4 linked regions of the Oreochromis niloticus genome follow. The main gene of each other region encodes a partner of the protein of the gene in region 3 in a complex. Links are inferred from orthologs where the notes say so. Each region holds a gene or a part of one and is shown on either strand. Other genes may lie near its edges.

Region 1 (8,080 bases), on a different chromosome or scaffold from region 3:
GATATTCAAATGATCTGGTCAAGTCAGTTCCCATGTTGAGCATCTTTATCATCATTTCAGAGCTCCATCCTCCGGTCACTTTGCTGCCTCTCTTGTCAAAGGACAGCTTCACAGACACCAACCATGCAGTCAGTCTCTCCTGCAAAAACATTTGAGTGGTTAAATCACACAACTGAAGGCTTAAGTGGAAGAAGACACTTCGTGTGAGCACTGTGGACAGTGTTGGGAAGGTTACTTTTAAAATGTATTCCACTGCAGATTACAGAATACATGCCCCAAAATGTATTTTCCACCGCCGTGGAATTACCAAAAGAGGGCATAGCCTAACATATGAATCAGGAAAAGACCGCCGTGTAATCCATTTATTTCAACAAAGTAAATGTATTCTGAATACCACCTTTTTAAACGGTAACTGTAACGGAATACAGTTACTCATATTTTGTATTTTAAATGCGTAATGCCGGTACAGTGGTCCCTCGTTTACTACGGGAGTTATGTTCCAAAAATAACCCGCGATAGGTGAAATCCGCGAAGTAGCCAACTTTATTTTTTTACAATTATAATAGATGTTTTAAGGCTGTAAAACCACTCACTACACAGTTTATACACTTTTCTCAGACAGGCATGAACATTTTCACACTTTTCACTGTTGTTTAAACATTTTCAAAGTTCAAACCTTCGTAGAAAAATAAGTCCAGTATTATAGAATGAAACCAAATCACCCGCGGTTGCCTTTAATGGTGCAAAACGTCTCGTCGACATTGTTGTGTTTGTTGGGGAGAAAACTTACAAACATACAGTGCAGCACTTCAGAGTCACACTGCTAGCGATCGAAGATTTATCTAAATTTAACAAGCTGAACGCATTCTGTACTAAACAGGAGACACGGCACGAAATTGATTGACAATGGTCTACAGCCAATCAGGATGCAGAACACAATGTGCTGGAAAAAAAAAAAACAAAAAAACAAAAAAAAAAAACACACACACATGGAAAATTGCACCAAAAAAATCATCGAAACAGCGAGGCCGTGATAGGTGAATCGCATTACAGCGAGGGACCACTGTGCATGTATTCCGTTACTCCCCAACACTGACTGTGGATATGGAGCAGTCAGGTAAAAGGACAAGAAGTAGTCCACAGAAAAGAAACATGAATGTAGTGAAGGAGGACATGCAGAGGGCTGCTGTGAAAGATGTTAGCGATCGGGTGAGATGGAGGCAAATGATCTGCCTAAGAGGAGCAGCTGAAATGCTACTACAGTCCTCCTGCTCAGCAAAAGAGAAAGGACAAAGACAAAAGAAAACTACGAAAAATATTGAAGATTCTTGCCTTCAGAAACATGAGGTAGAGCTGACCAGGAGTGAGCACTTCCTGGCACACGATGCTGTCGGGGTTTTCTTCCATGCACTCCTGCTTGGCAAAAGTGAAGAGCTTCCTTGTCATCAGACACAGCAGGTAGAACTTCTCCACATCTGACTTCAGGTGGATGCAGATACACTCACTGATCAAAACAGAGTAAGACCCTTTTTTTAAATAAACATACCACCAAAAAAAAGCAGAATAGTGTCAACTGTATCCATCCCCAGAGCTTACTTTAACAAGAAGTTGGCACACTGTTCATTTGTGTACCACTCAGGGAGGTTCATCTTAACCCTGAAGCGCTCTCCGAGGTAATTGAGCACCTTGCTGCGGGTGGTGCAGTTCTCCTCCGTGACGATGCGCAGCATCTCAGAAACACAGGTCTTGTAGAAAGAATTGTCCTCGCGGCCTTTGATCAGCTCCTGGTAGATCTGGAAGTCTGTGAAGTCCACCAGAGCCTGAGGAACATGACAGCAAATGAGCACACAATGAGCCTAAAGCATTTTTATCATAATCTGTTCTGTAATGAAAGCTTGTTCACCTTTAACGCAAAGCCTAGTGGGAGGAAGAAGAGCTCTTTCTGGTAGATGAAGTTCAGCATCACAGTCCCGTTTTCCAGATAATGCAGGTTCATGTTGATGGCTGTGTGCTCCTCCCTCACGCAACGCATAGAAATACCTGTGAGGAGAAAAAGCCAGTGAAAACATGCAGGCGTGGAGTCATTGCTGCACTGTTTTCTTTAGAAGTAATACTTACCGTACTGAGTGTAACCCTGACCCCTGTTCTTCCACTTGGGTCTTGACATGGCGATAGGATAGTTCCTCCTTGGCATTATCAGCATGCGGATAACCTTCTCAATTCCATTCACAATGAAATAACCTCCCATTTCCTGTCAAAGTTGAGGCTGGTATTATAGGACAATATTTAAACCCATCCTGGCTCAGTTTGAAAGTACAACTGCCATATCCTACCTCGGCTTCTTCGTGATGCTCTACGAGCTCTTTGGGGGACATGCCATGCAGGTTACACAGCTTGGACTTCACCATGATGGGCACATGACCCAGAGACTGCTTGATGATGCCTTTGGGAACTCCGTTGATCGACCAGCTGACGTCTGCCTGAAGTGAGGCAACACTCACCCAGTCAATATGGATTATTTTAATGTTGCTCTGGGAATATAAACACGACTCAGGCTTACCACTATTTTCCCTTTGTACGAGCATCTTCTTCCCCGGCACTCTGCTGGGAACACCTTCATTTCCTTGCAGATGTTCCCTTTGGCAACCACTGGGTTTTGGATGGCAGCTTCAACGAAACCAAGGCTGATCCGTTCATTTTTGAACATGAACTCTAAGGGGGGGATGGCCTGGGAAAGGTGACAGAAAAGTGAGAAACGTAAGAAAGGCAAAGATTATGGGAAGCAACTGCAAGAGGGATGTTCACAGCAGGTTGAGCTGAGAAAATACTGCTGGAGCTGATATCAGCAGCTAGTCGCCCAGCAGGAAACCAAATTCTTCACTCACTCATTTCATCGTTGTTATGGTGGCTTTCACTAACCTACCTACCTACCTACCTACAGTAACTCACTGCATATGACTGCACGGCGTGTTCAAGACAAGCTTACACAACTCCGAGTCACACAGTGTACGTAACTAATCGCAGTTTTAACTAGTTGGGGTTAATCGCTGGTCTTAATGAAGTGATTCATCACATTGTTGAAAACTTTAAAGAAACTTTTGCTGACCTGCACAACGCGGTTGAGTCCGTCTATGACCGCCTGGTCAAACGACTCGATGTGAGCTTTGGTCAGATCCTGAATGGCAGCATGCTGGGTGTCCTTCATGTGGCCAAAGCTTCCATCTGTCAAATTTTTCAGACTCGGACCTTTAGGAAGATCACTCCACTTACTTGAAAAATCCATGCTTACGCTTGTTTACCACATGTGCATGGTTGACACAGGAAGCACATGCCCTACACAGGAAGAGAAGCGTTTTCTTCTTCGCTTACGTTTTTTGAGTGTAAGTAGACTCGCTCACTGCTAGCTTAGCGCCATCTTCTGGGAGTAGTTATGCATAAAAATTCGTTTAGCTCAAGTGAAGCGAGTGGTGGTGATTGCGACCCTCTTCCAGGTGGAGGCGTTGTGGGACCAACAAACAGCGGTGGTTTTCAATGGAAAGAGAGGACAGAGAAACTGTGTTGATGGTGTTATAAGCTATAGAAAACATGATGTATGAGGTTGTGTGCTGGGTGTATATTTATGAGGAGAGGAGAAATAGTGTAAAAAGACTGGGTCCCGCTGTATTACTCAGGCTGCACTACAGCGTCTATTCACAGGCGCGATCCCACTACTGAGCGGCACGGGGGCTTTGACCTGCTTCGTTTCCGACCTGGGCCGGTGCACCCCTCCTTAGGCGACCTGGTGGTCCCGAGCTCCCCCAGGAGCACCATATCGATGCCGAACTTAGTGCGGACACCCGATCGGCATAGTCCGCTGCAGCTCAGAGCTCCTGAGCTCAAACGATCCGCCAGCCTCAGCCTCCCGGTAGCTTGGATTACAGGCGCGCGCCACCGCACCCGGCGAGAGGTGCTCTCGTTTATGCAGGCTTTAAGGTGTCTACACGTGACGTCATCAGAGAGGGACGCTCTATCCTCGCGGCACCTGCTCATTTAAAATAACATTATTATTATTCCATAAATAAAAAGGCTAAAGGTAAAGATTAAATCATAATGTTTCACATTACAAATTCAATTCAATTTTTTTTATATAGCGCCACACTGTAACAACCAATGTCTCAAGGCGCTTCATATTGTAAGGTAAACACGCTACAATAATAGAAGAATACAAGAAAATGACATATTGTAATGTAATAAAAGTGGATTGAAAATATGATTCAAAGTCTCACCAAGTTCAACCATTTTACTTTTCAAGGCTAAATGTTAGTAGGACACGTCCACAGATCAAACTGAAAAACATTTTCCCCTCCAAATCACTTTCGTGAAGACAATTCTTTGTCTTCCTGACCTTTGTCAGCTCCAGTTTGTAAAATCAATCTGTACTGGTTATCTTGACACATAATCCACAACTCCACTTATTACACTTTGGTTGCAGCAATCATTTTACACTACAACATTTAGTAAAGAAAAACAACAATAGTCTCCTTGAGCTGAGGAGTTGTTAATAAAACTGCTCTGTGCTGAGTCTGCATAATGACAGGAGGGTTTGTATGAATGCAAAAACTTTCATATAAAACAACTCTATTACCAGTTTGCTTCGTGCACAGGGAGTGGCAGTTTGAATATCCAGTGTCTGTACTGAATGATGCTACTTTAAGTGCTTGGTGATTTGGTGGACTGCCTCTATGTGATTAACAGACTGAAATAATGTTGTCCATGTTTCTCATCTTATCTGCTTTGCAATAAACGGTTCTTTAAAACTTCTTTAACGACTGAGCCTTTGCCTTGGGTTTGATGACTAAAGTCTCCACTCTAAAACGGGTGGATTATATTAAAATCTATGATTATTCACTCCAAATTATTTTTAGACACTATAACAGGTCATCCAACTAATTAGGCTGCTTTTCAATGTAACATTGTGATGTTTATTATACTGAATTGAAGTCTGCAAATATTAAAACTTAAATAACATTTGCAAACAGCATATTCCTTTAATATTAATTACCAGGCACTGCATGCAAGACATTATGATTGGGAGCTGAGCCGCCCTAAAAGTTTGAACCCAGAATGGCCCCAGCTTCTGATCTGCATTTGTAGTCATGTTCCCAGAGGAATGTGCCATATTCATTCTATTTGGCTAATGTTTCCTCACTTTTAACAGACTTCTGTTTGATAGCACATAAAGCACTGCTACATCTTAGTCAACCCATTTAATCCCACCGACAACAATTGTTGCCGTTTTAACCCCCATTACATTAAAAAAAAACTGTAAACATATTGTGTGTAGGGGAAGTCTAAGGACTAAAATGCATGCACTTATTTTACAAGGGAAAATTTGGGATTAAATGGGTTAAGTAATGAATTACAGGCTCTGTGTGCTAGAGCTTTAGAACCTACTGTCTTTCAAGACACTGGTGGCCAGCAGGCCAAGGTGGATGTAATATCGGGGGAGTATGTCTGTGCAGAGTTGTCTCATCAGTCACCTTTTTAATTGTTAATGTGGATTTTCCCTGTTTTGATTTATTTTCCCTTTAGTTTGATGTTGTTTGTTAGTCTGAGTTTTTCTTCAGTTGTGGCCAAACACATCAGCACTCTAAATATCCAGCACTGACCCACAGCTGTAAAGTGAAAAGGAAGTGAATTTAATGTGTTCTCAGCCAACCTTTACAATATCCTCAGCAAAAAAGATACAGTTAATATTATTTTATGTCGTTTCTTGGATGATTGGAGGCAGTAGACTACAGTCCAGTAATGACAGTGGGCATCAGTTGTTGTTCATTTGAGATTCTGGTAATTACACAAGAGACAAATTTGAGGGCTAAAAGTAAAATCCAGACAAAGACATGGCAGAATTTCAGTCTTTATGGCTGTTATCAGTCTGTGGAAGTATTTAGTCCTTAGGTAGGATGAATAAAGTCGAAATGTTTGTACATGTGATGTGCACTGCAGTAAAATTTATTATGAAGTCAAGACAAGCAGTTTAAGTAAATGTGACTTAGTTTTTATAGTCTCTTGATTTTTCCTTCTTTAAAAAAAATTATTTCAAAGAAGTAAAACAAAATCCAATTCTGTTAGTTTGGACAGATGTGTAACAATCCATCTACATCCATCCATTTCTTTTAGCCAACTTAAGCTTGTAGAAAGAAGAAAAAAACGTATAGGTGAATAGTTTCTGTGAAGTTGCAATGAGTGATGTAATTGCCACTCTTCTCCAGGTGGAGGCGCTGTGGGACCAACAAACCAGTGTTTTTTAATGGAAAGGACGGAGAGAAAAACTGTGTTGATGGTGTTATAAGCTGTTAAAACATGATGTATGAGGTTGTGTGCTGGGTGTATATTTCTGTGGAGAGGAGAAATAGTGTAAAAAGACTGGGTCTCGCTGTATTACTCAGGCTGCACTACAGCGTCTATTCACAGGCGCGATCCCACTACTGAGCGGCACGGGGGCTTTGACCTGCTTCGTTTCCGACCTGGGCCGGTGCACCCCTCCTTAGGCGACCTGGTGGTCCCGAGCTCCCCCAGGAGCACCATATCGATGCCGAACTTAGTGCGGACACCCGATCGGCATAGTCCGCTGCAGCTCAGAGCTCCTGAGCTCAAACGATCCGCCAGCCTCAGCCTCCCGGTAGCTTGGATTACAGGCGCGCGCCACCGCACCCGGCGAGAGGTGCTCTCGTTTATGCAGGCTTTAAGGTGTCCACACGTGACGTCATCAGAGAGGGACGCTCTATCCTCGCGGCACCTGCTCATTTAAAATAACATTATTATTATTATTATTATTACATAAATAAAAAGGCTAAAGGTAAAGATTACATCACAATGTTTCACATTACGCATTCAATTCAAATTTTTTTATATAGCGCCACACCGTAACAACCAATGTCTCAAGGCGCTTCATATTGTAAGGTAAACACGCTACAATAATAGAAGAATACAAGAAAATGACATATTGTAATGTAATAAAAGTGGATTGAAAATATGATTCAAAGTCTCACCAAGTTCAACCATTTTACTTTTCAAGGCTAAATGTTAGTAGGACACGTCCACAGATCAAACTGAAAAACATTTTCCCCTCCAAATCACTTTGGTGAAGTCAATTCTTTGTCTTCCTGACCTTTGTCAGCTCCAGTTTGTAAAATCATTCAGTACTGGTTATCGTGACACATAATCCACAACTCCACTTATTACACTTTGGTTGCAGCAATCATTTTACACTACAATATTTAGTAAAGAAAAACAACAATAGTCTCCTTGAGCTGAGGAGTTGTTTATAAAACTGCTCTGTGCTGAGTCTGCATAATGACAGGAGGGTTTGTATGAATGCAAAAACTTTCATATAAAACAAATAGAATAGAATAATCCTTTAATTGTTCCACAAGGGGAAATTTAGGTGTAACAGCAGCAAGAAAGACACATATACAAACAAACAGTACACAAGACACAGAACAGAAACGTACACAATTTTTACATATTTACATCAAGGACAATGGTTACCAAAAACAGAGTACTGTACCGTTATTAAATTAAATAAAATTAAATACAGATAAGAGGCAAACCCTGGTTATAGTGTGAATCGGTTGATAAAATAGTGCAAGTTACAGCGCTGATTTAAACCTCAATGTTTGTTGCGAGCAGTTTTGATTGTACAATCTGACAGCTGCAGGGAGGAAGGACCTGCGGAAACGCTCCTTCATGCATCGAGGATGCAGCAGTCTGTCACTAAAGGAGCTCTGCAGTTCAGCAACATTTCCATGCATGGGGTGGGAGACTGTCCATCAGAGATGTTATTTTGGCCAGAGTCCTTCTGTCTCCCACCACCTGCACTGGGTCCAGGGCGCATCCCAGAACAGAGCTGGCCTTCCTGATGAGTTTATCCAACCTCTTCCTCTCAGCTGCCGATAAACTGCTGCTCCAACATACAACACTGTAAAAAATGACAGATGCCACCACAGAGTCACAGAAGGTCTTTAAAAGTGCTCCCTGGACTCCAAATGACCTCAGCCGCCTCAGCAGGTAGAGTCTGCTCTGACCCTTCCTGTAAAGA
Region 2 (7,392 bases), about 11 Mb from region 3:
CTGACTCTGAATATGGACACAGTTACTCGGTGCCGTGGCAGCATCAGCTTCCTGTGGTTACCTCTAGCAGCTTCTTCACATCCCAAACGTCTCTGCCCTCCACTGGACTTCCCTTCATGTTGAAGTGAGTTTTTCCGGGATCCACAGGAGTCGGATCCTTCTCGATGATGATCTGATGGCAGGAACGCAGCTTCACGTTAAAAATCACAGTGGGACAACACAAACAGGAAGCGGAACAGAGCATGCTCACCTGCTGGATCTGGACGCCGTACCCGCTGAACCCCTCGCCCCACGACGTGTTTCTGTAGATGTCGTCGACACGGTCGATCAGCTCAATCTGAAACACAGTTGGGAGGGGGTGGGGTTAAGTGTCAGTGGATGGCGGGGGTGATGGATGTACAGGTGGTACCGACCAGGTAGTTGAGGGTTGTGCTCTCCTCCTCACGGCCCATGTGTTTGTAAAAGCGATGGTCGGCCACCAGCAGCAGAGGACACGTGTTCTTCTTGTGGTCGTGCACGTGACGCTTCACTCTGAACGCCGACTCTAAACAAGAAACCACCGAAACACGTCAGACAATGTTATTTATACATTTGACACTGAAAGCTCTTTTTTATTTGTTATTATTTATGAGCGTTTGAGTGTGTCAAATATGAAAATATATGTTTTCACTGTAATATCTCTGTTCTCTGACCCAAACCTGATTTTTTTAAATCGTTTTTTTCCCCCACCTTAAGAGCACTTTTTCAGATTTGGTTTTTTTCCCCATTTAAAGCTCAAACTTTTCAGGAATAAGATTTCACCTGTTGGGATGGCAAGCTCTCTTTTGTTTCTTTTGTTTAAACAGCTTTTACTTTGTTATTTTTTTCACATTAAAAGTCTTTTTTCTGACTGACTTCCTGTTTGTGTCGCTCGCTCTGTACTCAGTTCAGATGAAGGTGTTTCACTGGACTTTCACGTTTGTGCTGCGCAGTGACAGGAAGTTCTCGCTGTCTCTGTGGTTAACGCAGTTCCTGTGTCACCTGGGCGTGGTCGCTTTGGGTCAGTGTGAGCTTTACCCTCAAACAGGAAGCAGTCACAGTGCCAAGTTCAGGCGAGGACCTCGCTTCTCACCTTCTTCCTCCTTTTCCTCCACCACAGCTGCTCTCACGCTGTCAGGGAGCAGGTCACTGGGGTCAGAGGTCACGTAGCCGCAGACCGAAGGCTGCTGCAGGCGGCTGATGTTGCGGATGTCTTCCGAGCGATAGATTATGAGGCGACCGTCAGAGGGCGCCGACGTGAACCTCCAAAGAGGCTGAAGAGAGCAGAGGAAGGTTTAGGGACCGATCACTCAGCAGGCGCTTACTCCAAGTCTCAGGTGTTTACCTCAACATTGTACTCGGCCTCATCAGTCAGGATGTGAGCGGAGAACTCGTCATCTTCGATGTGCGCCTGAACACGGGAGTTCTCCTCCCCTACAACACAAAAACACATTAAAGGAGCCGTTACTCCATATTAATCCTGTCAAAGGTCACCACACGCATTCTACACGTGTGTTTGAAGTAGCAGCCTGACAACATCTACAAGAAGCCTGACAAGGCCTCGCGAACCTTCTCAAGGACATCTGGGGATTTTTTTAAATTACTCTGCAAGCTTTACAAGAAACCAATTAGTAGAATTCTACCCCCAAAGACCTCCACAAAGGCTCTGCTTAAACAGTTTACCGATGACGTGTCCGGTGAAGTAGTTGTGCCTGTTGACCGGGTAGGTCCGCTCTTGGCCATCCTCGCTGATGACCACGGCTCTGAAGTCGCTGGTGAAGAGCTCGTCGTTGGTCCTCAGGTAGAGTCTGAAATGCCTGTAGACACGAGGAGGAGATGTTCAGATTTCACAAATCAAAGATTTTAAAATGGCACCGAGCTGCACGGACGGATGCCGCTATCTTACCTTTGCAGGGCGCTGAAGCTGACCAGCTTCTCCATGTGCGTCTGAGACTGGACGTCACGGCGGCGGACGGAGTGCGTCTGCAGGCTGGAGAGAGGCAGCACATCAAAGTCATCCAGCATCGCTCTGAGAGACACTACAGAGAGAACGCAAACCTGCCCGTTAGCATTGAAAATCCTGTGAAATACCTCAGCTCCTCCACCACACGCCAACACGTGCCTCAAAAACGTGACCAAAATCAACACATAAGTTAATAATTAACACAAATAAAATGCTGCTGACTTTATATTTAACATAAATGTATGTTTTTCATCCACTTTTTCCTTTTATGAAAAGAAAAAGTTTGTAACAATAAAAGAAGTTAAAATATTAAACTTCAGGACTCATCACTTTTCATCGCCTCATTTCCTGTCAAATGATGACATCATGATTACAAACCAGTGACATGTGATGTCATGCCAACATCGTTATGGCACAGTATTATTCTTAGGTTTTGCTTTTTCTTTCCTAAAAGTCAAAATTCACTCCCTACACTTCTCTTCTTATTTATGACTTTTTTATTTTTAAGATAAATTCTAAACCCACAGTTGTTCCACGTTAGTGTATTGTGATTTTTTTTTTCAACTATAGTTATATCTCTCTGGTCAAAATGTTAACTTTTAATCTCATTTGACTTTATTTTAATTCAATAAACTCCTATCATGATCAAGTTGAATGCTCCTGGACTCAGCCATTTATTTAAATACCTGTGATTTTTATGCGAATTAAACTTTTGTTTGGCATGAGCGGTCCTCCATACCTTCTGCCTCAAACATGAACTTTTCCAGCGGACCGGCGGTCCTCACAAAGGACACATTTACGATTAAATTCAGTTTTAAACACTCACTGAAGTCCTGCTCCGTCTTGTCCGGGGGGACGGCGGCCTCCGTTAAAGCGGTGAAAGCGGCTAAAAAGGCGAAAATCAGCCGCATGTTGAACCGTCGGGACGGACTAAATGAAGACCTTCCGCCGCTCGCTTCAGCGTTCTAGCATCAGACTAAACTCCGACCGCAGCTCAGAAACAAACGTCAGCTTTAAAGCTCATCTCTGGACCGACCTCACTAAATCTCACCCCACTCGAGTCTTTGTTGTGTTTGGAAACGGGCAGAGGAAACGGGCAGAACAAACGCCCCCACTCCGCCGAACCAGGAAGCCCGAGAGCGGCCGAGTGAAGCTACCGAGAGCCGAGGAAGGAGGGCGGAAGGAGGCCCGAGGGCTTTCACAGTAAAAGCAAGGGACTTTAAGGGTACATTTGATTATTAATCAATACTGTCGAAAACAAACGCACGATAGCTAATAATCAATAATCCAATAAATTTTAATGATGGTAATCCTTTAGACTGGAGGTGGAGTGCTGTCATCGAAACTTTAAAACTAAAACGTAAGTAAAAAAGTTCATTTTAAAGTAATAAATATAATACAACATTTAATTCATTTAATGAAATTAACTAGAGAAATAAATAACAAATAAAATTACACAATTTCAAATACAAATAGTAATGTATGCATACAAATATGTTTCAAATCAATAAATAATCATCTTAATCTTAATCTTAATTTTGTTTAGTGGGTTGTCTGTGTTGTATAGCCCTCTTTAATAGCAATGGAAGAATCAAACCTTCAGTTGTTTTAGAAATGTTTCACAAAGTGTTTGCCCGCACGTGTTATTTTGAAAATCCGTCAGGCGTTTGTGTTTGTTTTGTTGTAAACTTTGCGCGAGTCCAACAAAAAGTCGCGAAACCATTCCCGTGACAGTGATTGATGACAGCTGATCAGCCTCAGTTAGATCAATAATAAAAATCAATCAAACTATTATTCTGTGTGTATGTGTGTGTGGGGGGGGGGTCAGCTTATATAAGAGAATCAGAGAGACATCTGGCATCTATTTATAACCTCTGACCTCATCAAATCCGCTTAGAAACACAGAGCACATCAGGAACTCTTCATCATCATCATCATCATCTGGAGGAAGAAAAACTCTCCTGATTAAAAGTGACTGAGAAACATCCAGAAAATTCATACACAGTATATTTATACTAGGAGATTTAAAAATAAGTATAAAAGTCACATTTATCATTTGTTATTTTTAATGGTAAATGGTAAATGGCCTGTATTTGTATAGCGCTTTACTAGTCCCTAAGGACCCCAAAGCGCTTTACACATCCAGTCATCCACCCATTCACACACACATTGTCACACACTGGTGATGGCAAGCTACATTGTAGCCACAGCCACCCTGGGGCGCCGGACACTGGCGCCACCCGGCCCTCTGACCAACACATTTAACACATGTATTATTTTTATTTTTACTTATAACAATATTTAAATAAAACGTATTTAATTTATTTTATTTTATTTTATTTTATTTTATTTTTACAGCTGAGTAGAAGCAGTTGAAGTATGTAATCTGGCCTGTGGTTGCAGCAGAGAGGCGTTCAGTCTCCCAGAAATCAAGCGCGAAGAAGAAGAATCCCAGTATCTCCGACCAGAGGCATGTGCGGTTGTAACGAAGTGCCGATAAAATCCAAAGTTTCGTGTTAAAGCTGCAGTTTTCCACTCGGGATGGATGACGAACATACGGTGAGTCCCGCGGTGCTCTCATAAACAGTTCGTTTCATTTTACGCAACCTACGGTGAACGCAGTTGTCAGCTAGTTCGGTCTTATCAAACTCCATTAGAAATATTAGTGTTTTAAGATGATTGGCACGACATTCAGTCTCCAACTTTAACTTCAGACATTTAACGGGTTTGTGTGACTGTGCAGCCGCTGAATAGTTAATCGGCACACATTTAATAACTGTTCTCTTTAATTAAAATCCGTTAGCATAGTATCAGCGACAGTTTATTTATAATGTTTGAAATAAACTCATCCGTCTATCAGTACCAATAACTGTGAACGCTTAATGAGTTTTGATTTAAATTTTTATTTAAACTACATTGTGTGTCGAAGTACTCAAAGTCTCAAAGCAGCCCTAAAGTAAACAAATGAAAACACAAAAAATGATTCCCGATAAACACAGAAGGATTGTGTTAGCAATCGTTGTTAATGACGTCTAGGCTTTTCTGGGTGAAGTGTTTGGGATCTGGAGGTTTAATTGTTGTTCTTTCCCGTGGGCGCTGCTGTGCAGTTTCACATAAATGTGTTTTTAAAGGCATTTAAATGTGAACATTACATACATAAAGTACTTTTTTTTTTTTTTTTTTAAACTGAAAGATTAATTTGTTCATTAAAATATTTACAGAAACACCTGAACATTACCACGTGTGTGTGTGTGTGTGTGTGTGTGCGTGCGTGCGCGCGTGCAGGCCGAGTACACGGTGCCCTGTGCCCAGTGTTCTGCGGTGGACTGGGGCATTTCGGACGAGGGTCGCTTCTACTGCAGGTCCTGCCACAACGTGATCGAGGTAAAAACATCTTCATCATTATGACCTGTACAGTGGTCTGTAGCTGGAGGTTGAGGTGTCAGGGTCTCTTCAGTGCCCTTTCAGAGACACTCTTTTTACTACACAGGTGGATGAGTGTGAAGTTGTTATGGGGATATAGGGAATTCAGAACTCCATAAACATGCTTTAAGATGCTTCTTTTAACAATATGGTGTTGGTGGTTAAGCCCACGTGTAGAGGACCTCCTTATTCTGCTGCCTAACATGTGACTGTGTCCTTAGAGGACCCGGGAGGTGGTGGACCTGTCCTTCTTAAAGTTGTCCAGCAGGGTGTCAACCATCAGAGGACCCCGCAAGAAGCAGGCCGGTCAGTGTCCGATCAGCAGCAGCATAAATCGATGATGTCATATCCTGTTTAACATGTCTGTTTGTCTTAGAGCGTGGTCACGTGTGGATGGTCTGCGAGGGTTTCCAGTTCATCCTGAAGAACCAGGCCGATGCTCTGCTCGCGCTCGGAGTCAGTCCTCAATTTAAGGTCCGCCTCCTCTCTCTGTTAACCACAAAGCATCCAATTAGAGGCCTGACTCGTGTCACTGTTTTAGGACGACGTGCTGTGTCCTCTGTGGAGGTGTTACCTGCAGAAAAGTCGCCAGGCCTATACCCACGACCCTGTGAGGAGCTGCAAGTTCAGAGTGGTGAGTTTTTATGGTAGCGGAGGTTCGGGTGGTGCATGGAAACTGCTCGTCTGCATTATTTTTTTTCTGGCAGTTTCACCTTATGTTTTTTTGTTTGTTTGTTTGTTTGTTTGTTTGTTTGTTTGTTTTTAAATCCATTTTGTTTTCTTTTTTGTATTTTTATTTGATTTGATTTGTATTTTTAATGCTTAATTTTGATTAGTTTTCTTTATTTTCTTATTTCACAATTTTTTTATTTGTATTCTTTTTGTATATTTAATCATTTTTTTTAATTTTATGTTTTACTTCATCTACTAAGTTTTATTTATTTTTTTATTTTATTTTTTAGTTTATTGATTTCATTTTATTGACTCATTTCATTTTTTGAGATTTAATAATTAAATCTAAATCCTCAGAGAGCCGTGGGTTCGGACTCGGAGAGCGCCAGCGAGGCAATCAGCTGCACAGACGGCGAGTCGAACCCAGCAAGCACAGCGGGCTCAAACACAGGTACGGTGCTGGAAGCGTTTTCAGTCTGACAGGAAGCTCCTGTAAAAGTTTCACATGACCAGATGAGGTTTCTTGCATTAGCTGAACTGCTCGTTTAACCTCAGAGAACTCCGGTTTTTGGTCCGGCTCCTCGGACACCCTCACCTACCTGTCGGCCAGGAAGAAGCGGAGCCAGAGTCTGCTGAGCATGAAGAAGACACTGGCGCTGATCTACCTGGCTCTGGTATGGAGCCGTGAGGCGCTGACGCTCAGCGACCTGCTCAGGTAACGCTTGCACCCACCTGCACTTGTGTGGCTGAGGGTTTTTAACCAGAGTTTTTCAGCTGAATGAACGTGATGTTTTGCAGGCTTGTGAATGAGGGTCACATCCCGTACTTGAACGCCTATGAGCAGCTTCCCGAGGAGATGAAAGTCACAGGGAAGGACTCCCTCATCTTCATAGTCGAGGTGAGAAAGCCGCCATCTTGTTTATTACCTGGCCCCGGTAATGATGCATGACTTAGCTCTCACCTGGTTTCTGCAGACAGTCCCGTCTCATCACGCCGTTCATAAGGAGGCCGAGACTATCATTCAGTTCCTGCAGCTTCCTGCTTTTCCTCCAGTCAGTCGGCAGACCCTGCTGCACCCGGCGCTGCTCAGCCTCAGATACCTGTCCGACGTCAACCTGCCCGGTAACAACTGCTCCAGTGTTCTGACCGATAGTGGTCTCTGGAGGCGACCATCTTTACATACAAACACTGACAGAGTGTACCTGTATACGCCTGTTTCCTGTCAGATGAGCTCCACCCCTGGGTCTGCAGGCTGTTGGAGCACACCGGTATGATGGATCAAACGCTCCACACATTTGACCCGCACAATCACCCCA
Region 3 (8,265 bases):
ATGCAATAAAGAGGTCCTGCAAGAAAAATCAAGCACATGAACAGGACAAATACACAATCACAACACATATGAGGCAAAACTGGAGGCAAAACTGGAGTCCCCCACCAAACAGAAAACAGTATCATCTTCAGTGGTTCTTCAGGATGACAGCTGAGCTGATGGAAATAAAATAGAGGGTGAGATGTGCCTGCTTACCTTGGCGAGGGCCTGCAGGCTGACCAGAGTTTGGTCTGAAGAGAGGAGCGCGGCGCTCATTGAGCTGAGAGGTGAGTACAGCCAATCTGTGAATAGGAAGAAAAACAGCTCAGATGCAGTTAAACTGGGCTGTGACTAACGGTAATTTTAATTATCTGATGAAAATGTAACAGAGCAAGTGGTGACGTCATTAAATAATTTCACAGTTTGTCCAAAAGAAACAAAACAATCAATAGCCTCCAAGCTATTCAGCCTGAAGTCACATTAAGCAGTAATAGGAACAGCTATGATGTGCGGTAACCACTGTTTAGTGGTTTTTTCAGGCTTTCGCAACTTCCTGTATAGAAACAGCCTCATTATGAGTAACAAACAACATTTCTGATATTCCACAACAACAAGGAAGCTTTAACAACTGCCAAAACTCACTTTTCACGAAGCTTCGATGATTCGAGCTTCTCTTGGTTTAGAGCTCGCTCTGCATTACGAGCATTCACCTGCAGGCAGCGCAAAGAAGCAGAGTAACGCTTTAGCTCAATATTAATCTTACACAGACTGAATAAATTATTTATAGAAACTGTAAATAAACGGTGTAGAAACATACCCAGTTTGAGTGAGTTTTGTTCTCCTGCTCTTTGATCTAAAGAAAGAAAATCACATTCAGCCGAGATTCAGATTGGAGTAATGTTTTTATTTTGTTGGCTAATTTGTAAACGTTAAGATAAAAAAACAAACACACAGTCTACCTGCTCTTTGTAGACTTCCTCAGTCTTCTTCATCTGGTCCTCCATCTCATTAATGCGCTGCCTTAAGATTTTAACCTGCTCCTCAGCTTCAACAGCTTTCCCTCCAACCTCCGACAGCAGATTCTCTTTGCTGCGCCGCTCCAGCTCCTCCTTCGTTAATTTCCTGTGTGCGCACAGAAACATAGTGACTCCCAGTCCTCCCACAAATCATGACTGATGAGAGGTTTCACTTACTCATCATCATCATCATTCATGGTGTAAAGACAGCAAGTAAAATTTACAACTACAAAAATACAGACGACTTTCAGACATTCAGGACAGGAAGTAACAATTTCTAATCTGCTGAAGACTTCACTTACTGCTGCAGAGCATTTTCCTTCTGCTGATACATTTCGACCATGATTTCGTTTTTCTGCTGGAGGATCTTGAACTGGTTTTCAATGTGGCTCTTCTCACTTTTCAGAGTTGAGATTGCATGTTCAAGCTCCTGGTGTTGCTCTGTTTTAAAATAAAACAAAAAGGAGTTTAGTGGGATGCAGATACCCATTTTCAACTGAATTACACAACTTCTTAATTAATCTAATTCAAAATGTACCTTCCATTGCCTTCCTGGACTTTTCTTCATTCAGTAGTTTTGTCATGAAGCGATCCCGCTCTTCTTCAACTACAGCAAGAGTGGTCTGAACCTGTAGAGAAAAATACAAGAAAATGCACTAACATTTTGAAACCGAACAATCCTCTATAAACTAAATATAAGCTTTACAACATCTGTTGATATCTCACCCTAGAAACATCCATCATCTGTTTGATTCTGTTCTTTATGGTCGTCTTCTTGTCTGTAAGAGACACTGAAAGAACAACAAAACACTATATTATTAAACAGTGGTTAATGAAACAACTTGTCGTATTTCATCCACACATTTACGATATCCCTTAATATTTTGATAAACTACAAACTTACCAGGTGCTACTTCACCATTGGCCAAAACTTTGGTGTCACCTTTTTGTAAATCACAAGCTTCCAGGTCAGACAGAAGTTCAGACAGCACCTGAAGTAGACATATTGTGCAAGAGTGAGACGATTTAATACAGATTTAATAAATAAATAAATAATAACAAATAAATAAATAATAACAAAAATCAGGAAGAGCTATGACAGTAGTTAGTGAAAAAAATGACCTCCACATTGTGATCTTTGAGCACCACAGAGTCCTCCAGTTCTTTCTGGGACTTCTGATAGACTTTAATCTTCTCATTAAGCTCTGTGTGTTTTTCCTCCCAGCTTTTAATGGTGGCCTTCAGCTGTTAGAAAAGACAGGGCATAAATTAAATCTGATGAAATATTCAGATTTATGACAAGAGAAAAAGAGAAATAAAAGAAGAGAAATATCCATATCTGTCTTACTGTTTTGTTCTCGCCCTTTAAGGCAGCAAACTCTTTCTCAAGACATTTTTGTTGAACGTTTCGGGCATCTTCGCGAATCTTGGCTTCATCCAGGAGAACAGTAGTCTATGGATGAAAGAAAACAGTTTATAAGATAAATTAAAGCTAAAAGGTCAAAGTAACACTACAGAGTTTGCAAAAAAAAAAAACAAATCCCAAAAGGATTTGTACCTTAGAGAGCGCTTCCTGCATTTTTTTCCTGTTAGCTTGTAGCTTCTCGTTTAACTTCTCTAATTTCTCAATCTGTTAAAATAAAAATAATAATAATGATAATAATTGCAGCATGAATCAGCGAAAAGAATGCAAATAACAACGAGCAGAAAGCAAAATTAAACACTTACTCTTGTTTCATTTTGGAGAGTGTTTGCCCGCTCTTCCTCCAGTAGCTGTGCGTATTTGTCCTTTTCCTCTGCCATCTGTTTATTCAATGTTTCAGCCTGTAAGACTTTACTCTGCAAACAGTAACGAAAAAAAATTAACGACAACCCTTCACCAAATAACTGAGTGTCAACAAAGATTTAACCCAGTTACGTAAGACTAAATACATATGAGAAAGACTCTTACTGCTTACCTCTAGCTCTTGCATCTTTTTCACTGCACAACTAACAGTTTCCTTTGACTGTTTTTGATTTTCTTTCAGTTGTTCAGTCTTTTACAAAAAGAAGAAAACATGAATCAGATGTGTTTTGTTTGTTTTTGTCCAGGAGAAACTCAGCAACATTTCTCTTTATGGGGCTCACCTGTTTCTGGAGTTCAGCCATTTTGGCAAGAGCTTCATCCTTTTCCTTTTTGTGCACCTGGATTTGCTCTCTGAGTGTTTTTTCATCCACTTTTCCAATAACACAAAGCACACAATCAATGAGGCCGTACACATATACATTTTGTCATGTTGTGCAAAAATTATAACTGAAAACTTACCGAGGTACTCTTTCTTCTTTATCTTTAAAAAATGAAAATTAAAAAAATCAATTTTGAATCTTACAGTGTATAATATCATCCAACAATGACCTAAACAGAAAAGATTTTATACTGTATATAACTCAATCCAATGGGAGTATAACCCAGGGGGATACAAAGCCTTATTAAATCAAAGCTCATACAAATAATATTGGCATTTTACTGGCGCCAAATAAACAGAGCAGCAATATCACAACACTTACTGCCAGCACAGTCCTCCAGAAGAAAAGGGTGAAGGTCACTACTCCAACCAAAGCAGTGATGACAACAGTTTGCCAAGGACAGCCAAACAAAGTTTCTCCTGGCTTCCACTCTTCAGGCAGCAATGAAATCATCTGAAGAGACAAAAAAACCCACAACCACAGCTTTAACTCCGGAGAATGAAATTAAACTGGAAACAGATGGTTAAAATAGCACTATGCAATTAAATTATATCGATTTCTAGTTACAAACACAGCTTTCAACAGTGGTGAAAAGAAGATTGAAAATTATTTTCATAGTGATGCTCTTATTTTGTCTTGTGTTATAACTTGATTGCACTTTTCCGTATCTCTAAAAATTCAAACAGCCTGCGGTAGATTTACTTCAGCTCTAGCCAAGATGATTATAAGAGATGTTTGTCAACAAGGAAGGAAGAGCTGAACAGTTAATCACAGAAAAAAACAATAGTGTCATGCTCTCCTATACAATCATTTTCTCATTTTGCCTATCGCAACATCACCTTTTCCTCTCAGTAAAAGCCTAAGTTCAGGCTATGGCATGAATACTTTGGTTTACAAAAATGTTTTTTTATTTAGCTCAAATACACTTAATTAAAAAGAGACAACAGAGTTACCATGTTTCAAAATGTATCAAAAATAATTATGACTATAATTCTGGCTGTAAAATAAATAAACAAAAAAGCCCAATGGAAAAAGAAACAATACAATATACAATAAAAACACTGCAGAAGCTCTGATTAAACATCAAATTAAATCTACCATTAGACTAAGACACTGTGCATACATTTACCAAACTATGACACTTCACTAAAGAGTCATCTGTAACTCAAATAAGCACTCATTACAACCAAGATTAGCAAGAGTAACAAGAAGAGCATCTCTGTCCCACAACGAATCTTAAGGCTGAAAGGCTACTGCAGCAGCAGAGGTGCCACTCTTGTAAGCTAGAACAGGAAATTAAGGATATGACTGACATGGGCTGACCAGGATTGGACAACAGAACACTGGAAAACATTGCCAAGCCCCCAAGTATTTATCTAATAAAGTGTCCGGTGAGTGTATGTGATAAAGGACACAGGATTGATATAAAAAAAACACAAAAAGATTCGTCTACACTCTCAGTTTAGTCACCAAAATAATTCTGTTGGTTATTTATTAACATAAAAAAATAACATGTTTTCTACATTGTTCTATACATACATTTTGAAGTGATGTATGAAGCATTTAATACATTACTTGATTAGGGAGCAATTCATACTATAAGCTTTTCTCTTTCACAAGCTAGGTGGGTTTCACTTTATAGTTAAACTAGCTTCATTTATGCCCAGTCATACCAAACCGAGCGTATTAGTCCAATCACAAAGAAACCTTTGAACTCCCCATGAGGCAACAGTAGCAAACATATACACGCTCTCACTCCGTGGCTCTAATAAAATACAGGGATTACAGCTGCCTTAATACTAATGGCAAATATTAAAAGCCTCTCTTCAATTTACTACTTTTCAATTCTAAATGTTCAATACAAATTTAACAAAGGCTGGGCTGTAAGAACAGTTAGATAGCAACGAAAAGGGCACAGGACAGTGAAAGGTCTTCAATCAAATATACAAGACCCGGTCGACTGCTGCTAATGCTAAAGGCAAGTTTGGTGAGTAGATTTAGGACCAGGAACCGTCCAAGTCATTATCCATCAGCCACCTGCTAATTAACACGTCATGGTTAAGGCCATGACAGCGTAAATAATAATATTCATATGTGTGTCCGTCTGGCTTTTTTTTTTTTTTTTTAATACTGTAATGAATACTTACATGTTGCAGTCCCTTCACAAAAACCACATATGTGTGCTCCGGTTCCATGACAGGCAGGGATAATGTCTCCCTCTCCATTCTCGTGTTTAAAAACAAGAACGGAACTAGCCAGATGCTAGTTTGACAGGTATCAGCTAGCTGCCTAGCACGTTAGCTATCCACAAAGTAACTGTATTGTTAGGCAAAGGCTCGGTATCCAGGAGCGTTAATGTCTCCCGCGTACGAAAGACAAATAAGCGGTCGTTAGACAAATGGACAACGTAAAATAGTAGAGATAGGAGTTGGTAACAACGACTTGCTAACGGTAATTACAGATCACCCGTCAAATCCCATTCACAGCTGTTATCGTGAAGCAACGGTCGTTAGCAGAGTTGGTGGTTCTGATTATGGATAACGACTGTAGCGACCAAAAAAGGCTACACTAACTCAACAACACATTATCTGCCTGTACATGCCACAATAAGGCCGTTAGCCACAGCAGCCAGCTCAGCACCGGCTGTGTTGAACTTCAGCCTATACCGCGACAGTCAACAAGGCAGGGGGAGGGCCGGAGGGGGCATTCAGGGAAAACTGGAAATTTGAGTTCTCACATAATGCACCACACTTCCAGAGCAAGACCGACGTCTGTTACATGTAGGGCGACCAGGTGTACCCACACGATTTTAATCCTCTGTCCCACATTTTGGCTGGCTCAACAAAAGTCTCTAAAGTCATGCAAGTCTCCCGAGTCTCCAGCTCCTCAAAAACTATATATGGGGAAAAGAGTTTATTCATGCAGAAAAATGTGGGGTAGTGGAATGCAACATTGCAATTTCTGGTATCTATTCAAAATTATATACAGTATAAAGTATACTATTATATAAAGTATATACAGACCCAGCTTTGCCTGTGTAAACACTTTTAAGAGCCGCATGTAATGATTTATGAGGTGAATGCATCATCAATATCTGATGCTTAATCTGAATCCGTTTTTATGACAACTAAATTATGTGATTTTTGCATTAATTGGTTAACAAATCACAAGCACCTTTGACTATTTTTTCCCACGTTTTTTCTTTTTTTTGAAGCGCTGGAATTTAAATGTGCCCTCTGGGCAACCACTTTATGTCAACCCCTGTTATTTTAAATGTGCTTAATAAATAAAAATGACTTGATAGTGAACCAAAAAGGGTTCTTATACTATACTTAAATTACTTAAATATTTTCATGTTCAGGATATATATTTTTTCAGTTCCAGTAAAATTTAACACTGAAGTAAGTGTTAAATTGAGTGACATGAGAACAAATTATGGCAGAACAGGAAGAAGGAAGTTGAGCGAAGTGTGGACAGGGCTGTGGGGATGTTTGAACAGACATGCTTACTGTTTGATGTAACTGAAGCGACATACTGATCTCAGACGAGATAAACTAAAGGATCAATCCTATCACACAAGTATTGATCAGATAATAGTACCAACGCTGGTATCTATATAATCAATATTTAGATCGATCCATCCCCTCCTATTTTCAGAGCAGCAAGACAAGTGTCTGCCCCAAATATTGCGACAATGCCCTACATTTTGACTGGCTCTACAAAAGTCCTCGCCAGTGATTCTCATATAGGGCAATCACAGGCCAATAAAACACATGTGAGGCAAAGATTTTGCTGGTGTAGTACAATGTGGGGTAAAGTACTAAAGCCTATTAATACATCTTTTCAGTTATACAAATGATGCATACTAACTTGACTGTGTTTTACTTGAAAGTAATTTGTCCACAAAACAGTGGATCATCTGCCTCCATTTCACCCTATTCCTTGCATTCTCCTCTGTCACACCAACCCTCTGATATCCTGCTGAGCATCTTGGTCACTTCCAATAAAATCTGAGCATCTTTAACTTTGTCATCTCCAGCTGAGGCTCCTATCTTTTTATTAGTGATGAGCATAAATGGAAACTAAAGTTTATAATTGGTCCTATGGAACAGTTTTCTGTACACGCTTCTAACAGCTGTCATTCCAGCCTTTCTGTCTGCTAATCATCTTTGGGTTTTAGCAGGGATGCATCCAAGTTCTTTTTGAGTTGTTTTGTTCTGACACAAATCCATTTTTGTAAATTAGAGTCATTTAAAATGTGGGACACTGTCTCGATATAAAAATGCTGTACAGTCTCACACTCCTGATGACACTAGACTCACAAGAAACATTTGGGTTTAAAAATTGATGGGCTGAACTATGAATGCTTCCCTGCTGAAAGTACTTTCATGCTTTCAGCTGTTCGCTTATTTCCCAAGAGGTTGCCACACAGGAGGGAACCACATGTTGATTTGTTACAGATACTACACCGGATGCCCTTCCCACTAGCTTGTGACCCCTGAGGCTGGCTTTGTGTCTCCTCCCAGTCTTGAACCAGTGATCTTATGAACCATTTGCTCTATGAATGCCTCCCTACTAAAACCCCAAAATTATTACCACAGAGATAAGAGGTGGAAATTTTAACAGTTACAGTGATGCAAACAGGAAATGCAAGACTGCACAAAGACTGCCACATAGGACCATAAACAAACTTCAATTTCTCTTTATGTCTATTCTATAGACATCGAGTTTAACTAAATTACAGTAAATCAAAGTTTATTTGTGATTGACCTGATCAATGCCAAACCTGTAACCTGCACAGTATGTGTGTATTCATGTTTTAAGTTAGATCAAAATCCCTCTCAGCATTAGCAACGCGTCCCACAGAGTCTTCGCAAACAAACCCCTTTCATCACATTTAGTTTGCTGGGATCTGGTTACCCTAGCAACATGAAATATGGTGCGGAACGATATCACAGAGGCCAGTACCTTTCTGGTCTGTGTACTGTTCATTTACGAGTAATATTTCTAAGCCACTCTAAGTTCAAATGACATAGAAAATTTT
Region 4 (6,114 bases), on a different chromosome or scaffold from region 3:
GAATAATGCGTTCTTTTAGTCTTGGCTTGTATTTATTCCTCTTCGTTTGTTCTAATTAGCATTTTCCCTGATTTCCTCTGTTGCAGTGACTGTACTCCTTATTTCTTTCCTCCATCTTGTCCTACATTTATAGCACAAATGACTCATGCAGGCTTTACAGAATAGAGAACAAGGAGGGGGAAAAAGATAAAATCTTCATGTTGCATTTCCACTATAGGCTCTTCTCACGGTCAAAGAAGTAAAGATTAAGCCTGACATCAGCTCTGCAGATGCAATGCTTTCCTCCCCCCCTTGCCTCCATTATAAAGCTAGAAGATTGTCCCATGAAAAACATTAACATAGGACGCTTCTGTGGCTTCTTTTTCCTTCAGTGGGAGATCGTGTCACAGGAGCTGTCATCAAAATAAACAATTTCAAGTCCCTATGAGCACCGGAGTATTCCTATCAATGTCATATTTCCAAGGTCACATTTAAGGCCCTACCGCCTCACGACTGGCTCACTGCTGTAAGGTGAATCCATGATTATCAGGTGCTCTTTCATATGCCAGTGGCTTTACACTCAACAGAGCATATGACATGATGTCTGAGCCTAATTTAGAGGGATAATCTGGCTATGTCTGTTTGCTGTCTTTTTTTTTTCCTCAGTGAAGCAGCACAGAGCTGACCTTATAAAGTATCCTGTGACCAGACCACACCTCTGTCTCAGAGCCGATGGAAGCCAAAGGCAAGCCTGGGGCTTCAGCTCCAAAGGCAGCACCTAAAGTGGAGAAAAAGGAGCCGGCTGCCCCACGCAAGTCTGACCCTGCCCCTGCAGCTCCTGAGCCGGAGCATCGCCCTCCTGCGCAGGATGGAGCAGCGGAAACAGAGACAGCAGCAGCAGGTGACGAAGCTGCAGCCTCCGGCACAGACTCTCTGGAACACCTGAAGCCCTTTCTCATTGGTGGGGCCGTTATTGCTGCGGGAGCCATCTTGCTCGGAGTATTGCTACTGGCAAGGAGAAATTAAAACCAAATCATTATCTGAAGTTAGGGTATTTATTGGTTGATGACTTAGATGGTCGCTGCTGATTGGTTCACAGACTATCATGATAAAGATTGGGGACTTTTTCTTTTTTTTTTTTTGCCCTGCTTTCACTTGTAGTGAATCAAGTCATTTGATTTTCGATCAAGGCTGTATATGGAGCATAATTACACATATTATATGCATGAAGTTGCTACAATACTGCATCTGAAGTGTAATTATATAATTATAAAAAAAAACTCACAAAAAAAAAATCTTAAGCCAAGCTAAAAACCTGAACTCTTAAAGGTAGCTTATTCAGCTGCTTTGTCTGGTTTAATCTAATTTGAACAAATATTGACAAAAATGTTTAAATATTTGTACATTCTTGCACCAGAAATGAGCTTGGTTCACTTTGCTAAAAGAAACACGTGAAGCCTGAAATCATAATGTTGAACCTTTGAAATATGAATAGCAGCTATCAGAGTTCTAGGTTTTTACTTTACTTTAAAATGAGACAGTTGGAAGAGAAGAGCAGAGAATAGCTGGGATTGTGCACTGTGGTGTATTGAAAATACTCTGGCTAAATCATTGATTGCCTAATTGAAGGTACTGAGTTCCTCTATAAGTATAGAGCGTATGAGACATCGAACTGGCGAACACAAGCAAGTACAACACAATAAAAATTCAGAGAGAACACATAAGTATGCAGGGGTCGAGGAATGGCACGTGAAGGGTCGTTGGATGTAAAATATGTATACTGTGGACCAGAGTATAATAGTGCAGTTATTTATTATTGTAGAATAAGCAGATTTATTTTACTGTCAAATTATATCACAAATCAATAACCTTTCGTGTCTTACACAGCAGCCGCAGTCATGCTGTTTCAATCTGTTTACATCTTACAGTAGATGTTTAGCTGTAGCAGGCTGAACAGCCATTAGTGTTGTGTATCAGGTTGAAAGCCTGCTGCCAAAACATGATAGTTTTTTCTGTCCTCCCTCTGCCCCTCTTATGTTTTCTAAACCTTGTCAACCTCATTTAGGAATTAGTAATGAGAGCATCCTGAATACTCTTATACAATGAAAGTGTGGTGTACATGAACTATTGTTCTATAGTTGGATAGAACTATAGTTTAATCAAAAGGGAAAAAAGCAGTCTCGGTTTTCGTTCCTGCACTCATTAACTTGTACAGCTGTACACATTATTTCCAACTCACATTGCAAAGCTCATGGGGGGGATTGTCCCCCGTTCCATAAGTAGATGCATAAGACAGTTCTAACACATATTTAACTTTAAGGATATGTATACATTTTACACATTACTGGCCATTAACATTGTGCTAACACTCAGCACTCATCACTACACTTAGCACCCCAAGCATGTCCAAAACATAGATGGCCTACGCCAACACTGAAACAAACTTCACCTTACATTGTACAATACAGTGTACCAAAAAAAAAGAAGAAGAAGAAGAAAATTCCTATTTTCATAATCTCAACAGCGTATAAATGCAATAATTCAGATAGGACTCCTCATTTAGCACACGTGCGGTAGCAAGTTAAATTATATAAACATTGTCATAATGTGTGATGTTAGTGATGGAAATGATGGCGATGTTACATATGATGATAATGAGGGTGATGGTATGCTGTGGTATAGTATGGTGGCTGTAATGATAGTATTGATGGTTATGATATATTTTTTATATATTTATAACATATTTACCTTATGCACCCTCCCCTTAGCTCCCAAACTTCTTAATGTGTAAAAAGAAAGTGAAACCCAACTTTATTAAAGGCAGTGAACCAACCCAAGTGAGTATGTCTTTAATCGCAACTTCAGCTTTAAATGGATTATAAATGATACTCAGTTTCATCTGAACTTTATATTTACATGTCTATTTAAAAAAAAAATTGTTTATTGATGTTGGCAGAGTTGAACCTTTTTCTTGTTTTTTTTTTTTTTTTTTTCATATATATATATATATATATATATATATATATATATATATATATATACACACACACACACACATATATCTATATCTATATCTATCAACTTCTGGTTGACTTAATTTTACTTTCTGTATTCTGTGATTTGTGATATTTACTACTATAATTTATTATTTGGGAATTTTATTATCATTTCAATTTTATTCAGTTATTTGTGACAACAAAGTTTATAGTTCACCATGAATGTATCAGATTGCATCAGGTGTCCAGGAACGTCTTTAATCACTCTTTTATTACCCCATTTAAGGCACATTTCATGTAAAGTATTAGTTAGGGTGTATTGTTGGGGTCAGGGTGTATTGTTATGTAATTCATTTTTACTCCAAAATCAATATCTATGCTGGCTCACAGAAACCATTATTGTGGTCAGGTCTACTTTGCTCAGCACGTCCTCCCAGAAGGATGTTTCTTTAATGTGACATAGGATGTAGTTATACCGCAGAGAAGTATTGTGTCTGTTTTTAAGGCATCTGCAGTTTGCTCTATAGTTAGGGTGGCAGCTTGTTGTCTGCTGAGTCAACTTTATGGTCATTTTTAGAGCTGTACTTATGTGATGCCAATGCTATATGTGAGATTTTCATAGCTTGGCTGCTGCTTTTCTATCATTTTGCCAATGAACAATTTACATATATTATTAGTAATATGGAAGCTATAAGGGTACATAGAAACTGAATTCTCCCCTAATATCCCCATAAGTTTCTCTTATTAATGTGTGTGTACAAGATAATTTACTAGAAAAGTGATATGCATGTCTAATTTTATGCGTACAAAGACGCGTTATAATGAAAAGAAACACCTAATCAAGCTTTTCGTTTTACCTCTAAACGTCATAAAATTAAATTCACTCCGCTGTTGCAGATGAACAAAGGATAACCATCAGCAGGGAAACAACACATTTCCACACATGAAGTAAATTCTCTTATTTGCACAAGATATTTACCACATCACGTGTTCATAGATATAAATATAAAGTCCATACACTTTAGGCTTTTTTAAATTTATAAGTTAGAGATGATTCTAAATGTAGTTAACCGTATAGTCACCTTTACCCATGCTACATCTCTCCGAGAAGTGTCGTGAAATTTGTCTGGATGATTTTTTTTTTCCGGATCTTGATGACAAAAAGTGAGGCCGAAGTAGTCGTTTATTTTGAAAGATTCTAACAGGAAGTCTTCTTGTTGTTGCGGCTGGAGAAAGCGAAGCTAGCAGTTACAACTTCTCCGGTGTTTGTTTCTCTCAGAAGACCATAACTTGTGTGCTTTAGCGAACGGTAGTGGCAACGGTGAGTAAATAAAACGTGACCTTCTGCTTTTTGTGGTAAACAACCAACACTGCGATTCGCAACATGTTAAAGCAGCTACATTTATGCTAAGCGCGTGGTTACGCATGCTGAAATGGCTAGCTAGGTGTTTTGTTCAATTAATTTGATAACTGCTCCTGAAAAAACACGCACAGATACAAAAAATAACAATAAACAACGCACAGGTAAACACTGTTTGGGTTTATCACCTTGCATAATTTATAGTTGTCTTAGCTACACATCAAAGATACAGTATTAGCATAATATTGACGCTAGCTAGCTCGGAATTAGCCGGGCACCTACTAATACTTTCAAGTTAAACTTATCGCCGTTTTTCGTAGATCGATGAAAACAAAATTGGGTCGTTAACATCACATAGGTGTTTGATACGTAATTTTATTGGGTAAGTTAAAAACCAGGTCTCTATTCACAGGTGTGTAAACATGATCATCCCTGTACGCTGCTTCACGTGTGGCAAGATTGTTGGTAACAAATGGGAAGCATACCTTGGTCTTCTTCAAGCCGAGTACACAGAGGGGTAAGACTAACACATTCTGTTTTGTTCCACTGACATTGCCTCTTAAATTGTAAATAACTGTTGTATTATGGCAACACAACTTAGTAGCAGTGCAGTCGCTGCACATTGAATTTTTTTCGTTTGTAGAGGTTAAGTGGTTTGAAGTCAACTTGAAAATGAGTTGATGGATTAAGTGAATCATAATTGCATGAGGCTATTTAGACCATTTTCCTCAGTGTGTTCAGTAATGTCCATGTACTTATTCATTCAGGATATAATACATTAGCTCTGACATTACTTTTTCCTTCTTCCTTCTCAAGTGACGCCCTGGATGCCCTGGGACTGAAGAGGTACTGCTGCAGGAGGATGCTTCTTTCTCATGTGGATCTTATTGAGAAATTGCTGAATTATGCGCCATTGGAGAAATGAAAACTAGAAGAACTGTTTGGACTTTGTGCAGGCTGAAGTTTTGAGAGTTTGTGTTATTAATGTGATGCATTTTTCTAAATAAAGCTGTTGATGGCATTGTTACATGTGCTTATACCTTTGCTGTCTTGTCTAGTTGCAAAGCTTAGTCCCCACACTTGTTCTATGCATTAAAACAAAGCAGCATGATAAATCTTGTAGAGAGACTTTCAGTAGTTTTACATTTTAATGTGTTAACAGTAGTCCAAACACAGGCAGTTTAAATGATTTTTGTGGTCCCCAGTAAGCAGATAAAACAACAACTTGGATTTATGTTTATGGATTTGTTTTTTTTGTACATTTAATACAAAAAGTGATAAATGTTACAGTTACATAAATTAGGAGGCGCTTCTGTGCATGCAAGCTTTGAACGAAGCAACGATTCTACAGTCTTTATCTAAAATTACAGATCCTGGAGAACTTAAAAAAGAAAAAAGTACACCTTGGACTTTAGAAGATGCATATCCGTAGTTTAATCTGGAATTCTTCTACTTTTGTCCCCCCAAAAAAAGGCCTGTCTTTGCTCTGCTTCAGTCACAGGACTTCAGTCTAGGGATGGGAAAATAATACATTTTGAAATCCACAAATTTTACAAATCAGATCTACACTATACTGAACTTAAAAGTAAGTGTTTGTATGTTTTCAGAAATACATTTCCTAACTGAGTTCTGTCATTTTAGGATGCATCCTGTGGCGTTTCACACAGCAGTATGCATATTTGTGCTAACCCCTTACATATATCTTGACTAAAAGTTCTGCATTTGATCAAGTAAAATGTATTCATTTTACTTGATCAAATATAGCCGTGCTCTGTCAGT

The links.
Region 1: taf1a (region 3) and polr1b share a complex: the UniProt entries of both Homo sapiens proteins name them as parts of the pol I pre-initiation complex. The link is inferred for Oreochromis niloticus from reciprocal best matches to the Homo sapiens genes TAF1A and POLR1B.
Region 2: taf1a (region 3) and taf1b share a complex: the UniProt entries of both Homo sapiens proteins name them as parts of the transcription factor SL1/TIF-IB complex. The link is inferred for Oreochromis niloticus from reciprocal best matches to the Homo sapiens genes TAF1A and TAF1B.
Region 4: taf1a (region 3) and polr2l share a complex: the UniProt entries of both Homo sapiens proteins name them as parts of the pol I pre-initiation complex. The link is inferred for Oreochromis niloticus from reciprocal best matches to the Homo sapiens genes TAF1A and POLR2L.

What each region holds. Positions count from the first base shown.
Region 1 is NC_031978.2:25,914,827-25,922,906, reverse strand, and holds the start of polr1b (DNA-directed RNA polymerase I subunit RPA2), read right to left. Parts: upstream 3,284-8,080; coding exon 3,107-3,283; intron 2,729-3,106; coding exon 2,561-2,728; intron 2,481-2,560; coding exon 2,334-2,480; intron 2,252-2,333; coding exon 2,119-2,251; intron 2,041-2,118; coding exon 1,904-2,040; intron 1,821-1,903; coding exon 1,597-1,820; intron 1,505-1,596; coding exon 1,333-1,504; intron 140-1,332; coding exon 1-139. UniProt on the Homo sapiens protein: Catalytic core component of RNA polymerase I (Pol I), a DNA-dependent RNA polymerase which synthesizes ribosomal RNA precursors using the four ribonucleoside triphosphates as substrates.
Region 2 is NC_031980.2:25,316,292-25,323,683, reverse strand, and holds the start of taf1b (TATA box-binding protein-associated factor RNA polymerase I subunit B), read left to right. Parts: upstream 1-4,350; 5' UTR 4,351-4,522; coding exon 4,523-4,540; intron 4,541-5,266; coding exon 5,267-5,365; intron 5,366-5,625; coding exon 5,626-5,710; intron 5,711-5,780; coding exon 5,781-5,878; intron 5,879-5,945; coding exon 5,946-6,038; intron 6,039-6,433; coding exon 6,434-6,527; intron 6,528-6,631; coding exon 6,632-6,791; intron 6,792-6,874; coding exon 6,875-6,974; intron 6,975-7,050; coding exon 7,051-7,198; intron 7,199-7,302; coding exon 7,303-7,392. Other genes in the region: adam17b (disintegrin and metalloproteinase domain-containing protein 17), read right to left, coding at 62-172, 251-337, 414-544, 1,112-1,292, 1,364-1,452, 1,702-1,835, 1,925-2,057, 2,808-2,892. UniProt on the Homo sapiens protein: Component of RNA polymerase I core factor complex that acts as a GTF2B/TFIIB-like factor and plays a key role in multiple steps during transcription initiation such as pre-initiation complex (PIC) assembly and postpolymerase recruitment events in polymerase I (Pol I) transcription.
Region 3 is NC_031980.2:14,112,019-14,120,283, reverse strand, and holds the start of taf1a (TATA box-binding protein-associated factor RNA polymerase I subunit A), read left to right. Parts: upstream 1-4,975; 5' UTR 4,976-5,199; exon of another isoform or gene 5,200-5,208; intron 5,209-8,265. Other genes in the region: mia3 (transport and Golgi organization protein 1 homolog), read right to left, coding at 196-281, 622-689, 797-832, 939-1,101, 1,298-1,436, 1,534-1,624, 1,722-1,786, 1,900-1,987 and 8 more. UniProt on the Homo sapiens protein: Component of the transcription factor SL1/TIF-IB complex, which is involved in the assembly of the PIC (pre-initiation complex) during RNA polymerase I-dependent transcription.
Region 4 is NC_031965.2:19,340,614-19,346,727, reverse strand, and holds polr2l (DNA-directed RNA polymerases I, II, and III subunit RPABC5), read left to right. Parts: upstream 1-4,144; 5' UTR 4,145-4,296; intron 4,297-4,747; 5' UTR 4,748-4,757; coding exon 4,758-4,852; intron 4,853-5,151; coding exon 5,152-5,260; 3' UTR 5,261-5,374; downstream 5,375-6,114. Other genes in the region: cleavage and polyadenylation specificity factor subunit 7, read right to left, coding at 5,827-5,845. UniProt on the Homo sapiens protein: DNA-dependent RNA polymerase catalyzes the transcription of DNA into RNA using the four ribonucleoside triphosphates as substrates.